Linked DNA regions of Oryctolagus cuniculus. The protein of the gene in region 1 purifies or fractionates together with the protein of each later gene. This does not show direct contact. Links are inferred from orthologs where the notes say so. Each region holds a gene or a part of one and is shown on either strand. Other genes may lie near its edges. The genes, in order: TJP1 and OCLN.

The links.
Region 2: the proteins of TJP1 (region 1) and OCLN purify together in Homo sapiens (affinity purification with western blotting; 4 studies listed by BioGRID and IntAct, with this or other methods). This does not show direct contact. The link is inferred for Oryctolagus cuniculus from reciprocal best matches to the Homo sapiens genes TJP1 and OCLN.

What each region holds. Positions count from the first base shown.
Region 1 is NC_091443.1:11,172,326-11,179,875, reverse strand, and holds part of TJP1 (tight junction protein ZO-1), read right to left. Parts: coding exon 7,437-7,550; intron 5,551-7,436; coding exon 5,333-5,550; intron 3,391-5,332; coding exon 3,247-3,390; intron 850-3,246; coding exon 755-849; 3' UTR 1-754. UniProt on the Homo sapiens protein: TJP1, TJP2, and TJP3 are closely related scaffolding proteins that link tight junction (TJ) transmembrane proteins such as claudins, junctional adhesion molecules, and occludin to the actin cytoskeleton.
Region 2 is NC_091445.1:90,487,504-90,495,290, reverse strand, and holds part of OCLN (occludin), read right to left. Parts: intron 6,880-7,787; coding exon 6,664-6,879; intron 4,316-6,663; coding exon 4,144-4,315; intron 339-4,143; coding exon 297-338; intron 1-296. UniProt on the Homo sapiens protein: May play a role in the formation and regulation of the tight junction (TJ) paracellular permeability barrier.

The DNA.
Region 1 (7,550 bases):
CTTGTTCATGATACAGTATCTAGATGTGCACAAAAGCCATAAGAACTTAGTAATACACAGCGAAACTGATCTAAGAATTAAAAACATGAGGGTAAGGCATTCCTGCTGGTCAGTACATCGGTGGTGATATGGTGAATCTCTAGATCCAAAGAGGCCACGGAGCCAGTCTCACATGCTTTGGTGTCCTTCCCTAAGAGAGGTGTGTAATTGTCTTCACCTGAAACCCTCCCCACCCAAAGTCACAAATTCCCCTTGCTGTACACTTCTGTTAAATCCACTATACTGGTTATATATTCCAGGTGCGTTTAAAAAACAAGTGCATATTACTTCATGCATAATAAAATAAAATATGTGTGTTAGGCCAGAGCCATAATAAAGTTTGAAACAATGTACTTTGGAAATAACAGAACTAAATGCACCCCCATTAGTGGCTGGTATTTTAACGGAAATCAGTATGTGAAGTGAAGCAGTGACCATAAAAACAAGTACAAAATCATTACAGAGCAAAGTATCTTTGAACCTCCAGCCAATAGCAAGAGTTCTTCAGTGGCAGACATGCAGTTTGCGGCATGTGTTCTGCTCATGGTTCAGGGGCATGCGCACAGTCTTGACCAGTCCAAACAAATGTTTAATATGAACAAACTGTAGTATCAATTCTAAGAAAAATAGAATACTTGATAGAGTGGTTCCATTTTAGACTTGGTAAATTTAACCCAGCTTCACATTATTTAATCAAGTTCCTGTAGCTTCAGAATTAAAAGTGGTCAATCAAGACAGACACACAGTTTGCTCCCACAAGGTAATTTGGATCTCCAGGAAGACACTTGTTTTGCCAGGTTTTAGGATCACCTAGGAGAGAAAAAGAAGCTGACGTCATTTAGTTGCCTAAATTGCTATGCATGATGCTTGCAACTAAGGGACAAAATGCAAGTAGATACGTATTTAAATACGCTTTTCCCTTGTCACTTCAACACACTGTACTTACAGCAAAACTCTCGGTGCTGCCCTTCAATGCAGATTTGCTGGCATCTGTGATTCAAAACGTTCAACAGTCTTCTCAAAAATGAGTTAAAGGACAACCATGTGCCTGAGGTAGTCTCAGCTTGTCCCTAAGTTCCAATGATGAACAACATCTTTCTTCCACTTTCACATAACAACCGATCACCCATTTGAGCTGAGTACATGAGCACATCACTCACACTCAGCTACAGACCAACAAACCAACCCTGAAAGTTCCACAGAATCTCGTTCCTAAAGACCTTCTTACTCCTTAAAAAAACAGGACAAACAGGAAAGCCAAAGGGAAAACCCCAAACAAGCCGACCAGGAAAACTGTGCCGTAGTAGCTCAGCTGTGACTCTGGTTCAAAACCATTCACAGAGCTTCCAGAACTGCCCATGCAGGTCCGAGGCAGGTCTGGGGCAGGTCTGGGGCATGTGAGTGCTGAACAAGCTCCTGGGGATTTCACATTTGTAACCAGAGCTAAGCACCCCCGGGAGTGGGTACTAAATGAGAGAGTGCTGGGATGACTAAATGTCTCTTTGGGATCTAGGTGCATGGACAGTCAGAACTGTTGACCTTCGGTTCCTCTGCAGCAGTAGTCTCAGCTAGGAGTGATTCTGTCCCCAAGGAGCCATATCTAGGGATTTTTTTTTTTTTTTTTTTGGTTACAACTTGCACCTAGTGGGTAGAGGCCAGGGAAACAGCTAAACATCCCAAATACAAAAGACAGTCCCTACAACAAAAGATTATTTGGCCACAATGTCAACAGTGCCACTTGGTGCACTCTTGCCTACATCAGCCAGCTACATACTTACTGCCTAAGTATTATCTGAAGTCAATAGCATTTCATGATGGGATGAACAGTTAAAAATGATGGGATGAACAGTTAAAAAGTGATTCAATTTCTTCGATATACGAATATAAAGGCTATGTTACACCATAGAGAACAAACTGTTCAGGCAATGAGATACACTTAATGGCACCACTTTTAAAGGAAATAAAATAGGTATCTCATCTTTAGGCTCCAGTTTCTTCACAAGAGACTAGTTTTTGTTGGAGTCATCAAAATCTACACTGACTTTTTGAACAGAAATTTATAGTAGCAATGCAATCTATAGTCACACAGTATTACATCAATAACACTTATTTTCTGGGTGAATATACTCGAATTTAACAAAAAAAATCTAACCAAAACATTTTATGTTATGGCATAAAACAATGGAAGTAGCAAATGTGCAAATCACTTATACTTCAGATAGGACCACTGACAAAGCAGGCTAACTACCAAGGTGGTTGTTCAAGATATCTGCCCTCATCTGGTGTGGAGGGCAGTCAGAGCCTGACTTTTGACTTCTGGAATATAACCTTTAAATGCAGTTTTATTAATATTCCTCCACTAACTGAACCTACACTAAAGAATATTTCTCTGGGGAGTCCCTGAGAAAATTTATGTTTATATATATATATATATCATTTTTTTCTGTTGGATAACAATAAAATACCTCTACTACAAACTTTAGACCATAACCTTTTACTTCATATTGTACCAAACTAAAACCAAGCAACGCACTCAACAATGCCCAACTGATTCACCAAAAATTTAGAAGCAGAATTTTAAATTCTTATTTTTCTATCTGGTTCTCATAAAGTTTTCTGTACCAAAAATAAAGTTCCAATGGGTAACTGACATAAGTTACTGAAGGAAACAAGAAATATCAAAATGCAATGGAAGCACTGATATTATGATCTTAAGAGCAAGAAGTAATTTTAAAATGACATATAGTAGAAGTTTAATGTAGAGTTTTACATTGAAAAATTATGGCCAAGTCTGATCCCAATGGAAGATCTTTTGTCATTGGAGTTTTTCTGGTATATATACTTTGCAGATTAGGAAATTAAAGAATGGTAACCAGAACTAGAATTAACTACATAAAACGACTGCATACATAGCACAGTTCACAGCTCTCCCACTGTGTCCTGAAACCTCTCACAGAACAAATCATTTTGGTGACCACCACGGAATAGTCAACTTTCAACCAAATTATTTCTTCAAAAGGCAGACACTTTACTCTGCCTTTGCAGACCTGTTGACAGCACATGTACCATAAATCAACCAGTGATGCCTACAAGGCCACAGGAACAGAGGTGGAGATTCGCTAACAAACAGCACAGGCAACATCACCAGCCTAGGATTAATCAACGACAGTATCCAAAGCCCCAAAGGACAGAGTGAAGACAGCATACCCGACGAGGAGTCGGATGATTTTAGAGCAAAAGACCAACCGTCAGGAGTCATGGACGCACAGTGTGGCAAGCGCAGCTCCACGGGCTTCAGGAACTTGAGGCCATGGGGCCCGCACATCACTAAGGGGCTTAGCAAGGTTTCACCTGGAGTGAGGGAAGAGGAGAGTGCACAGGTTAGATGCCAGTCTTCCTTCCACACTCGGTTCTTCCCACCCCCTCCAAATTACACACTTTGAAACCAAGTAGGGTTAGTTCTCTACAGCACTTCTGACCAAGGAAATTGTAATAGAAATCATGAATATAATTAAAATTTTTCCAGGAGCCACAACAAAGTAAAAAGAGACAAGTGTCATCAATTTTAGTATTTGCTCAACTCAGTATAACCAACACTATTATTTCAACTTTTAATCAATACTAGCTTTGAAATCAGTGTATATTTACATTTCTAGCAGATTTTAATTCAAAACAGTGCTAAATAGCCACAAGCTAACGCATGCAGTCATATGAGTCCTATGAGTCTGTAGCAGAAAACACTGATGTGCACTTTTCACAAACGTTACTACTTGTACCTTCCATTTTAACTACTTTTCTATTTTACAGGAAGGGTGAGAGCAAGAAAGAGTGTTCTCACTTGCTGGTTTACTCTTCAAATGTCACAATGACCAGGGCTGGGCCAAGGCCAAAGCCAAGAGCCAAGAACTAATCCAGATCTCCCACATGTATGAGTGGTGGGTCCTCCACTGCTGGGCCCTCACTGCTGTCTCCCAGCGTCTCCTCAGCTGAACCAGGAGTCAGAGCTGGGAAGTGAACCCTGGTGCTCTGATGTGGGACGCAGGCACCTTAACCAATGTCTTGACTACTAGGCTAAACACACATTTTAACATTTTGCTACAAACATGGTTTAAGGGGTTCATACAAGGATAACACAGTCAGTCCTATTGTTTTTTTTTTTTTTTAAACAAATTACCCTAGAATGCGATCATAGAATCAGATGTTAGGAAAGAGAGCTAATGCAACGTAGTGAAACACTGCTGAGAGACTGAGAGATGTGAAGAAGCTCTTCAGCAGTTCAGCAAGGCAGCAGCAGCCTGACAGGCCAGGGAAGGCAGGAAACTGACAGCATTCCCGTGCTGCTTCGGCAGCACAGAAACATGCAGTCCCACCCTCAGGATGTTTCATTCACTCAGCAGAGCGTTCACTAGCGTGAGGCTCAGGAGTGATGAGGAAGACAGCACCTGCCCCAGAGGCTTACCTTCTACGTGTACAGTCAGCCAGCAGGCAGAGTGGGTGTCACCTAACCCATCCACACATATGGAGGGTGTGACCTGATACAGCCAAGACTGCCTGGCAGTCATGTGTGAGGGATGCCGGATGGGCTATCACCTGCCAGCACCTCTGCTTTCATACTGAAAGCACAGTATCCTGCGGAAGGTCCCCATGGTGCTACTCTCTGTGAGCACGTACTGTGTGCCCGCACGGATGGACGGCACAGGCTCTGGCTGGCCCGACGTGCAGGCAGAAGAGAGGCTGCTGTGGTCTCCCTTCGTTGAGCACCGTAAGTTCTCAAGTGCACAGAAGGCAATTCTTACATTATTAAAACTAAGCAGAAACAGAAACATTTATGCAACTGGAAACCACTATGCATAAGCCAGTCCCCAAAAGTCAAATTGATCATGTTTTCTGATATGTGGCAGTTAGTATAAAATATTAAAAAAAGTAAAGGAATGAAACAGACATCTTGTGATAAGACTCTTGTTTTTAGCCCTCGTTTATACTCCTGTGGAACTACAGTCCTCCTAATTTTCACTCCTTGAATATCATGGTTGGTGGTGAATTAAGCCTGTGATTACAGAGCTGATTGAAAGCATGTTTTTGCAAAAATTAAAGACAAAAAACGAAGGAAGGAAGGAAGGAAGGAAGGAAGGAAGGAAGGAAGGAAGGAAGGAAGGAAGGAAGGAAGGAGGGAGGGAGGGAGGGAGGGAGGGAGGGAGGGAGGGAGGATGGTTATCTTCTTAGAACTGTACCTATGAGATACATGAGATCTATTCCCTTTACATTAATAAGAATCAACAAAAGCAGCATCTACCTTTCTCTTTATCCAAAGGTGGGAGGATGCTGTTGTCCCGGCAGACCTTGAAATAGATTTCCTGCTCAATTCCTTCGGGAATGGCTCCTTGCGGGATAATTATACTGACGCCGGTCTCTATGGAGCTCAAAACCCCACCATTGCTGTTAAATATGCCTCGGGCTGTGGCCACCACAGTGTGCCCATCCTCGTCTTCATCTTCTTCCACAGCGGATGGGCTGAGAGTGAGAAACGGCTAATGAGTACACTCCCAACGCCATGCAGGCAGTTTCTGTTAGGACCACTGCAGGAGGTGGCTTCCCTTTGTTCCTCTATATAACCAGTATGCTTCTTACATTAATAAGCAATTAGTGATGATTTCCCTCAGTTATAGATACCTGTGTTTACATAACTATAAGAATGTATTCTTATCCACTGTATTTTTGAAGGTAACTAGACAAGTCACATTCATTACTGATTTTGCAATCTAAATGTAAAAATTTGACACTGTGTTCACCCAACTACTAATAACATTTAAAAAAAAATATTTACTTGAAAGGCAGAGTGACAGAAAGAGGAAGAGGCAGGGAGACCCACCACCCACTGGTTCACTCTGCAAATGTCCACAGCAGCCAAGGCTCGGCCAGGGCAAAGCCAGGAACTCTATCTGGATCTCCCACATGGGTGGCAGGGATCCAGGGACCTGGGCCATCCTCTGCTGCCTTTCCAGAAACATCAGCAGCAAAATGGATCCAAAGTGCAGTAGCTGGGACTTGAACTGGCACTCCAACATGGGATGGGGCTGTGCCACTATGCAGCTTAACCCACGGCGTCACAATGTCCACCCCAAGCAACACATTTTAACATCCATGAAATTGGTGTTTTATAGCTGAGGGTAAGCCGCATTTTAATTGGTAGCATTCTTTTCCCTTTCTAACGATACATAAAATAACCGTGCATCTTACAATGGAAAGCACCTTAAAATCTGCTGGGATTCTACGCGGGCACATTACGGCTCCTTCCTCCACACTCCCTGACTGACAAACACCCCTGTTGTGAAAAGCATGGCCTCCAAGGTTCTACGAGGTGAGACTTTGGTATGAATACATCGCATACACCCACAAAACAGACACTAGCTTACCTCGGACAAGAGAACACCAAGGGCAAAGGAATCTGCTTTAAAAATGGAGGCTATCGGGACTTACCGAAGTCACGTTCTGAGCCAGGACTTAAATGTAAGATGACACACGGATCAACAACAAAGTATGTGAAGGTTAACTGAAGCTTCACTCCGGCGAGACGGCCTCCTGCGGCGCAGGCACGCGGCAGCAGAGTCCACGGCCTGGGGCAGCAGCACCATGCAGCCCCTGGCCTGAACCTCATGCACACCCAGAGAGGAGGGCAGCCAATGGACACAACCGTCTCCTCGGGGGAAGCAGACTGCCAATGGCCTCCCTGGGCCTTGGTTCTGCCTCCAAGGGCTTCTGCCCCGAGGCTGGCTTGACAGTTTAGCTGGATTTAGGAGGCTGAGAGATTAGGTGCAGCAGAATGGGCCTGGCGAGCCTCTGTGCAATGGGAAGAGTACTGGAGGCGGCTCCAGGTGGGCTTGCTTTGTCTCACTTGTTCAGCTCATCTTACTCAACATTAACTGTTGTAACAGCCACTTCAATGATACTACATCTTTATTATTTTTAGCATTCTTGAAAAAATGGGGGGCAAAGACATAGATACTCTCCAAACGCACTCCACAAGTAGAAGGCTAGATTGCATACATGTCACTTGGAGGCCAAGGCTCATTCGCACGCTCTGAGCTCAGACAACCAGGGCTGCATCGAGGCTCAGCTCATCGTAGCTCTGAGACTGGGGCAAACTGTTCCCTGTCACTCACCTTCAGCCTGTGGTGAAACAGGGACAGTGACAACACCTACCAACCACAGAGCTATCAGCTTTAGAACTTCACTGACATCTTGGACGTCCCGAGGGGCGTTGTCAGTGATGGCATTTGTGGCAGCACACTCCGTGGAGGTCAGAGTTAAATCATTACAAGTCCTCAATCTCATAACCTAGATCAAACTCTCCTAAGACTAAGTGCAGCCAACATTTCAAACAAAGGCAAGTATCTTACCCCACAGGAGCAGCTCTAGGCACTGTGCTGATATTAGTTACTTGGTACTTGGGCTTCTCTGCATGGATGGAGAAAGTTTCCACTCCACTGTCAAACTCAGGAGGCTGTGTGGAA
Region 2 (7,787 bases), on another chromosome or scaffold:
GGTGCTGGGAACACCGTGCACGGTCCCTTCACGCACACTTATCAAGCTGGGCATTTTACCTGGGTTTGCACACTTCTCTATGTGGACACTTAGGCTTTCTGAAGAAGTGTCAAAGAAATCAGTATTGGCTGCAAAAGCTGCAGAGAACTGAGGTCGAGTTTGCAACTTTGTCTCAGTGTACAGGGCCTTTGTCTGCCACTGGGGCATGCAGGATAAGTCCTTCCCAGTCCTGTCAAAGGCCGCTGGGAACAGCCCCGCCAGGTGCCCCTCAGAATCTCCGCCCCCAGGGCACTTACGCCTTTCACCTGCTTCAGTCGGTTGTACTCGTCAGCAGCCGCCTATTAACGAGAAACACAAACGAACACATTCAGTAAGGCATTTTCTCCTTCAAGAATCACATTCCGGGAGTTATCTTTTAGAGCTAAAAATGGAGTTTGTGGCAAAAACAAAGAGAATGAAAATCACGAAGCCAGCGCTGTGACACAGCAGGTAAAGCCCTGCCGGCAGCCCCAGCATCCCACGTGGGTGCAGGCTCGAGTCCCGGCTGCTCCACTGCCAGGCCAGCTCTCTGCTGTGGCCTGGGAAGGCAGTAGAAGATGGCCCAAGTGCTCGGGCCCTGCACCCGCGTGGGAGACCGGAAGAAGCTCCTGGCTCCTGGCTTCAGAACGGCCCAGCTCCCGCTCTGGCAGCCATTTGGGGAGTGAACCAACGCACGGAAGACTTTTTTCTTTCTTTCTTTTTTTTAATTTATTTTTATTTTTATTTATTTTTTTGACAGGCAGAGTGGACAGTGAGAGAGAGAGATAGAGAGAAAGGTCTTACTTTGCCGTTGGTTCACCCTCCAATGGCCACTGCGGCCGACGCGCTGTGCTGATCCGATGGCAGGAGCCAGGCAGGTGCTTCTCCTGGTCTCCCATGGGGTGCAGGGCCCAAGTACTTGGGCCATCCTCCACTGCACTCCTGGGCCACAGCAGAGAGCTGGCCTGGAAGAGGGACAACCTGGACAGAATCGGGCGCCCGACCAGGACTAGAACCTGGTGTGCCGGCGCCGCAAGGCGTAGGATTAGCCTAGTGAGCCGCAGCGCTGGCAGACTTTTTTCTTTCTGAATTTGCTTCTCTGTAACCTTTCATATAAATAAATAAATCTTTATAAAAAATCATGAAGTCCTTTTTTAAAAAAAAAATTTACTTATTTTATTTGAAAGGCAGAGTTACAGAGAGGCAGAGAGAGAGAGACAGACAGACAGACAGACTTCTATCTGCTGGATCACTCCCCAGATGGTTGCAATGGCCAGAGCTGTGCCAATCTGGAGCCAGGACCCAGGAGCTTCTTCCAGGTCTCCCAAGCAACTGCAGGGAACCAGGCACTTGGGCCATCTTCTACTGCTTTCCTAGCCTATAGCAGAGAGCTGGATCAGAAGTGGAGCAGCCGGGACTCAAACTGGCACCCACATGGGATGACAGCACTGCAGAACGCAGCTTTACCTGCTCTGCCACAGTGCCAACCCCTACCACAGTGGTCTTCTGTCAGGCACAGCTCTGCTTCAGTTTCAGCTCATGAGGAAACTGGCCTGGGCACCCCACTAACTTCCGTGCTCACCCAGCTTCCTCCCTGCCTGGGCTCAGTGCCCACCACTAGTCGTTCCCTTAGAAAACCCGGTGAAGCAAGGGGTCACGATTTCTACCCAGTTTTCTTTTTAGCTGAAATTCTGCATCTTCTCCCAGCTTTCAGCTTGAGTAATTCTTTTTATTTTAATTTTTATTTATTTATTTCAAAGACAAGAAACATGAGACAGAGACAACTCTTTCTGTCTGCTAGTTCACTCCCCAAAAGGCCTGCGATGGCTGGGGCTGCATCAGGCCTAAGCCAGGGGCCAGGAATTCCATCCAGAGCTCTCATGGAGGGATAGAGACCCACCTACTTGGGCCAGCACCTGCTGCCTCCCAGAGTGGGCACTGGCAGGAAGCTGGAAGGGAAAACAGAGCCAGGACTCAAGCCCAGGCACTCTGATATGGACGTGGGCTTCCCAAGCAGCACCATAACTGCCGTGCCAAACACCTGCCCCCAGAGAACTCCTGACAGCCACGTCTGACTGAACCCTCCCCTCAACTCTGCAGGCCTTCGGCAGACTTTATTTATTTATTTTTTAATTCCCAATTTTTTTTTTTTAGATTTTATTTTATTTATTTGAAATACAGAGTTACAGAGAGAGGTAGAGACACAAAGAGAGAGGTCTTCCATCCGTTGGTTCACTTCCCGGATGGCCACAACAGCCGGAGCTGTGCCGATCCGAAGCCAGGAGCCAGGAGCATCTTCCCGGTCTCCCACGGTGGGAGGGGCCCAAGGAATTGGGCCATCTAGTGTTTTCCCAGGCCGTAGCAGAGAGCTGGATCAGAAGAGGAGCAGCCAGGACTAGAACTGAAGCCCATATGGGATGCCGGTGCTTCAGGCCAGGGCTTTAACCCGCTGTGCCATAGCACCGGCCCCTTCGGCAGACTTTATTGTTTCTCTGGGTAGTTAGTTACAGGGGTTTTCACATGTAATGTGACTGTAGCATTGATCATGCTAAGTTGCTCACATGTCAGATTCTCTCTTAGAATCCAAGTTCGAGGGGCTGGTGCTGTAGCGTAGTGGGTAAAGCTGCTGCCTGCAGTGCCAGCATCCCATATGGGCGCAGGTAGAGTCCTGACTGCTCCACTTCTGATCCAGCTCTCTGCTAATGGCCTGGGAAAGCAGTGGAAGATGGCCCAAGTGTGCCTGGGCCCCTGCACCTGCGTGGGAGACCTGGAAGAAGCTCCTGGCTCTTGGCTTCAGATCAGCTCAGCTCTTGCCGTTGCAGCCATTTGGGGAGTGAATCAGTGGATGGAAGACTTCTCTCTGCTTCCGCCTCAGCCTTTCTGTAACTCTGCCTTTCAAATAAATAAATAAATATTGAAAAAAAAAAAAAAAAAGAATCCAAGTTCAATTCCCGGCTGCTCCACTTCCAATCCAGCTCCCTGCTAATGTGCCTGGGAAAGCAGCGGAGGATGGCTCAAGTCCCGGGGACCTTGCACCCACATGACAGACCCAGTTAAAGTTCCTGGCTCCTGGGTTTTGAAGGCCCAGCTTGGACCATTGTAGCCATATGGGGAGGGAACCAGTGGATGGAAGATATCTCGATTTCTCTCTCCCTCTGTCTCCATAACTCTGCCTTTCAAATAAATAAATCTTTAAAAAAATCTGTTCATAGAGGATGACACTTAAGTAAACTATGGCACAACCATAAAATATCAAAATAGTATAGCTATTTTTACATATAAATTTTTTTAAATTCTTATTTATTTATTTGGCAGGCAGAAAGAGAGAGATCTCCATTCACTGGTTTCTTTTTCAAATGCCCACAACTGTCAGGGCAGTCTGGGAACTCAATCCTGGTCTCCCATACGGGTGGCTGGGACCCAACTATTGAGCCATCACCACTACCTCCCAGGGCCTGTGTTAGAGGCTGGAACCAAGAACAGGGACGTGCATGTCCCTAGCAGCGTCTCCAGGCCAAACACCTGCTCCTACATGTAAAACGATTTGAAAGTCAATCTTTATTTTGATACGAAATGATTACCATAAACCACTGCTGAGGGAAAGATCAGGAAAAAAGCAGTGCCACAAAATATTTTTTTCTGAAAAAGAAAAACAGGGTCGGCATTGTGGTGTAGCTGGTAAACCCGTGGCTTATGTCGCCAGGATTGGGATCCCATATGGGTGCTGGTTCAAGTCCCAGCTACTCCTCTTCTGACCCACCTCTCTGCTATGTCCTGGGAAAGCAGTAGAGGGTGGCCCAGGTCCTTGGGTCCCTGCACCTGTGTGGGAGACCTGGAAGAAGCTCCTGGCTCCTGGCTTTGGATCAGCACAGCTCTGGCCATGGCAGCCAGCTGGGGAGTGAACCAGAGGATGGAAGACACCTCTCCCTCTCTCTCCTCCCTCCCTCCCTTCTTCTCTCTCTCTCTGCGTAACTCTGACTTTCAAATAATTAAATAAATCTTAAAAAAAAAAAAAAAAAGACTATCATCGAAGCCTGAATTTCAATCCATATTTCAAGCAAATACGTGTGAGCAATAGTACAAAGTCTACCACATCTACCAGGCAAGTGCGGAGCCTGAATTTACCATGTACTCTTCACTTTCTTCTCTGTAGTCATCCAGTTCCTTATCGAGACGGGAAAGCTCTTTATTGACCTCGTCGAGCTCTGCTTGCAAGCTCTTGTATTCCTGCAGGCCAGTGTCAAAATTCCGCTTGTAGAGTTGTCTTTGCTGATCTGATGTGATGGGCGGATACTCCCTAAGAGACGAGAGGGGAAATGACCACATGCAAAGACAGACGAAGCTCCCTGGCAGACGAAGACCCCGCACTGCTTGCTCTAAGGTAAGAAAGCTGGCGGCAGAGGGAAATGACATTCTTTTCTTTTCCTTTCAGTTCTAACAGAGAGGTGGAGGTGGGATACAACTAATTTATACTCACAGTCTCATTTTATGTATTACTGCTCACCCCTACATAATTTTTAGGATTCAAGGTAGGCCGGCGCCACGGCTCACTAGGTTAATCCTCTGCCTTGCGGTGCCGGCACACCGGGTTCTAGTCCCGGTCAAGGCACCGGATTCTGTCCCGGTTGCCCCTCTTCCAGGCCAGCTCTCTGCTGTGGCCCGCGAAGGCAGTGGAGGATGGCCCAAGTGCTTGGGCCCTGCACCCCATGGGAGACCAGGAGAAGCACCTGGCTCCTGGCTTCGGATCAGTGCCGTGCGCCAGCCACAGCGGCCATTGGAGGGTGAACCAACGGCAAAGGAAGACCTTTCTCTCTGTCCCTCTCTCTCACTGTCCACTCTGCCTGTCAAAAAATTAAAAATAAATAAAAATTAAAAAAAATTTAAAAAAAGGATTCAAGGCTAAAGACACAGGCACTCTTATTCTCCGTCCACAATACCACACGCTAATGGGATACTTGGGTTTCAAGTCCCTGAGCTGGAACTGTGGAACCCAAAGCCTGTGTGGACCGTCACCTGGCAGCACAGCCGCCCGCGAGGGCTGCTTCCCGCCATCACAGGCCGTTTTCAGGCTGTTTAATTTTAGGTGTTGTTTTTCCTAATTGGAAAAAGTTTGTTTGGTCCTTTCATTATAAAAGTAGATTTTGGCCGGCACCATGGCTCACTTGGCTAATCCTCCGCCTGCGGCGCTGACACACCGGGTTCTAGTCCCGGTCGGGGCGCCATATTCTGTCCCAGTTGCCCCTCTTCCAGGCCAGCTCTCTGCTGTGGCCCGGGAGTGCAGTGGAGGATGGCCCAAGTGCTTGGGCCCTGCACCCCATGGGAGACCAGGAGAAGCACCTGGCTCCTGGCTTCGGATTGGCACAGCGCTGGCCGTGGCGGCCATTAGGGAGTGAACCAACGGAAGGAAGACCTTTCTTTCTCTCTGTCTCTCTGTCATGGTCTATAACTCTCTCACGGTCTAACTCTGCCTGTCAAAAAAAATTTTTTAAAAAAAAGTAGACCTTAAAAATGTACATATATAAAAACGTGTGCTTGCTGTAAAAAGCATCTGGTAATTCACAGGCGCATAAAGGAAAACACTCTCTCACTTCTATCAGCCTCTGAGAGGACTTGCAGCGGTTCAGGAGACGAAGGAATTTCAAAGTTTACTTGGTGTGGAAATACTGAGAAATCCACTCACGGCTGCTGCCTAAGTTTTCCATGAACGAGAAAACCGCGTCCGAGCGGCCCCTCCTGTGCAGAGGACGCTGCTCCTGCTACCGCACCTGCTGTGTGTGTGTGACTGTGTGAGTCACACACAGAAGCGGTGCCTTTCTAACGCTGGGTCTAACAGTCCAGTATCTCCCTTTACAGGGGAGAGAACGCAAATGATCTGATTAAGAGAGAAACAAGAACTCAACATTCCGGAGACTTTTCGGTTACATTTGCTGGATACAACCTGGGCAAATATTTTAGACCTGATGGCTGTGTCAGCCCAAGACGGCAGGGGGCAAGGAGAGATGTGGGCCCAGAAGCATCAGCCCCCACAGCATCTCAAGTCCCCCACGCCCCCCACCCCCGACCCTCCCCACGGCCCCCACCCCCAACCCTCCCCACAGCCCCCACCCCTGACCCTCCCCACGGCCTTGAGAAACAGCCTGAGTCTCCCTCCAGCGCTGTGTCGCCGGCCTCAGAGTGCACTGATGGTGGCAAACCCCTGACAGAGAGGAAGTGAAGGAACCGCTACTTCAGTTGTTTAAAGAAATGTTTCTTAGGATTCCTTAGATGAAATCTTAAAAGAAACTCTGGTCTTGTCACCAAAGCTTAACTTAAAAGTCATGGCCAGAGGGAAGCTGGGAATTTTATACCCAGCAAAACGAAGCTCCTCTGTTTTAGGAGCTTCTTGGGGTGAGCGGTGGTGAAGACAGAAGTGCCGGGGATGTCCATGAGCTGTTTTTGGGGAGCAGCTGAGACTGAAGACATGGGCACAGCCAAACACATCCCTGCCACTTCAATCTATTACAAAAGCACACTAGGTGAAAAACAACAATAAAACATCTGGGGGGAAATAAAGTCTCCAGTTCCATAGGGCAAAGAAAAAAAAGAAGGGAATGGGCCGTGCCCCCAGCTTCAGGGGACGCCACGTCGGGGGCGGCCGCCCCGTACCTGATCCAGTCCTCCTCCAGCTCGTCGCACGACTCGCCGCCGGTCGTGTAGTCCGTCTCGTAGTGGTCTTGCTCTGATCTCCTGGGCCTGCCTGCTCTTCCCTTGGCGGGAGGCCTTTTGGAAGGTGTCTCAAAGTTACTGCTGCTGCTCAAACGAGGCTGCCTGAAGTCGTCCATGGATGACGTCAGCGGAAGCTCATGAACCACCTCGGGTACCCTAAGAAAAGCAGGGGAGTCTTGGCTCAGTGAGCTCGGGGCACCCCATGTCCCCTGCCAGTGCCCTGCAGCTGCAGATGGCACCAGGAGACGGCTCCAGGCAGGTGCGTGCACTCCAGGGGGTGACACCTCGCTTCCTGTGTGCGGAATCCTCCAGGACACCTGAGGAATGGATCCATCGGGCTCCGATTTAAAAGGAGCTTCTATGAAAGCTTCCAAGAAGAACGGATGCCAGATTCCATTTTAGGAAGTTGAGGCTGATCTGCAGGAGCTGCTGACCTGACGGGTTGGGGACTCCTCCACAAAAGGCTGTCGGGAAGATAAGGATCGCGATTCTTCTCCACAGGTTCTTCCAGTCCCACCCAACACTGACTGTGGGAGCTTATCTCCTCATACTATTAATTGTACACTACCCACATCAATTCACCTTTGAAGATAAGATTTTGAAAAACTAAGTATTGAAATGAAAATGCCAAAAAGCTCTTACATTGTAATGAACGAACAATTATGAATGTTTCTTTTAAAAATTGCTATGTTGGCTGGCACCACGGCTCACTAGGCTAATCCTCCGCCTAGCGGCGCCGGCACACCGGGTTCTAGTCCCGGTCGGGGAGCCGGATTCTGTCCCGGTTGCCCCTCTTCCAGGCCAGCCCTCTGCTGTGGCCAGGGAGTGCAGTGGAGGATGGCCCAGGTGCTTGGGCCCTGCACCCCATGGGAGACCAGGAAAAGCACCTGGCTCCTGGCTCCTGCCATCGGATCAGCGCGGTGCGCCGGCCGCAGCACGCCAGCCATGGCGGCCATTGGAGGGTGAACCAACGGCAAAAGGAAGACCTTTCTCTCTGTCTCTCTCTCTCTCACTGTCCACTCTGCCTGTCAAAAAAAAAAAAAAAAAAAAAAAAAAACTATGTT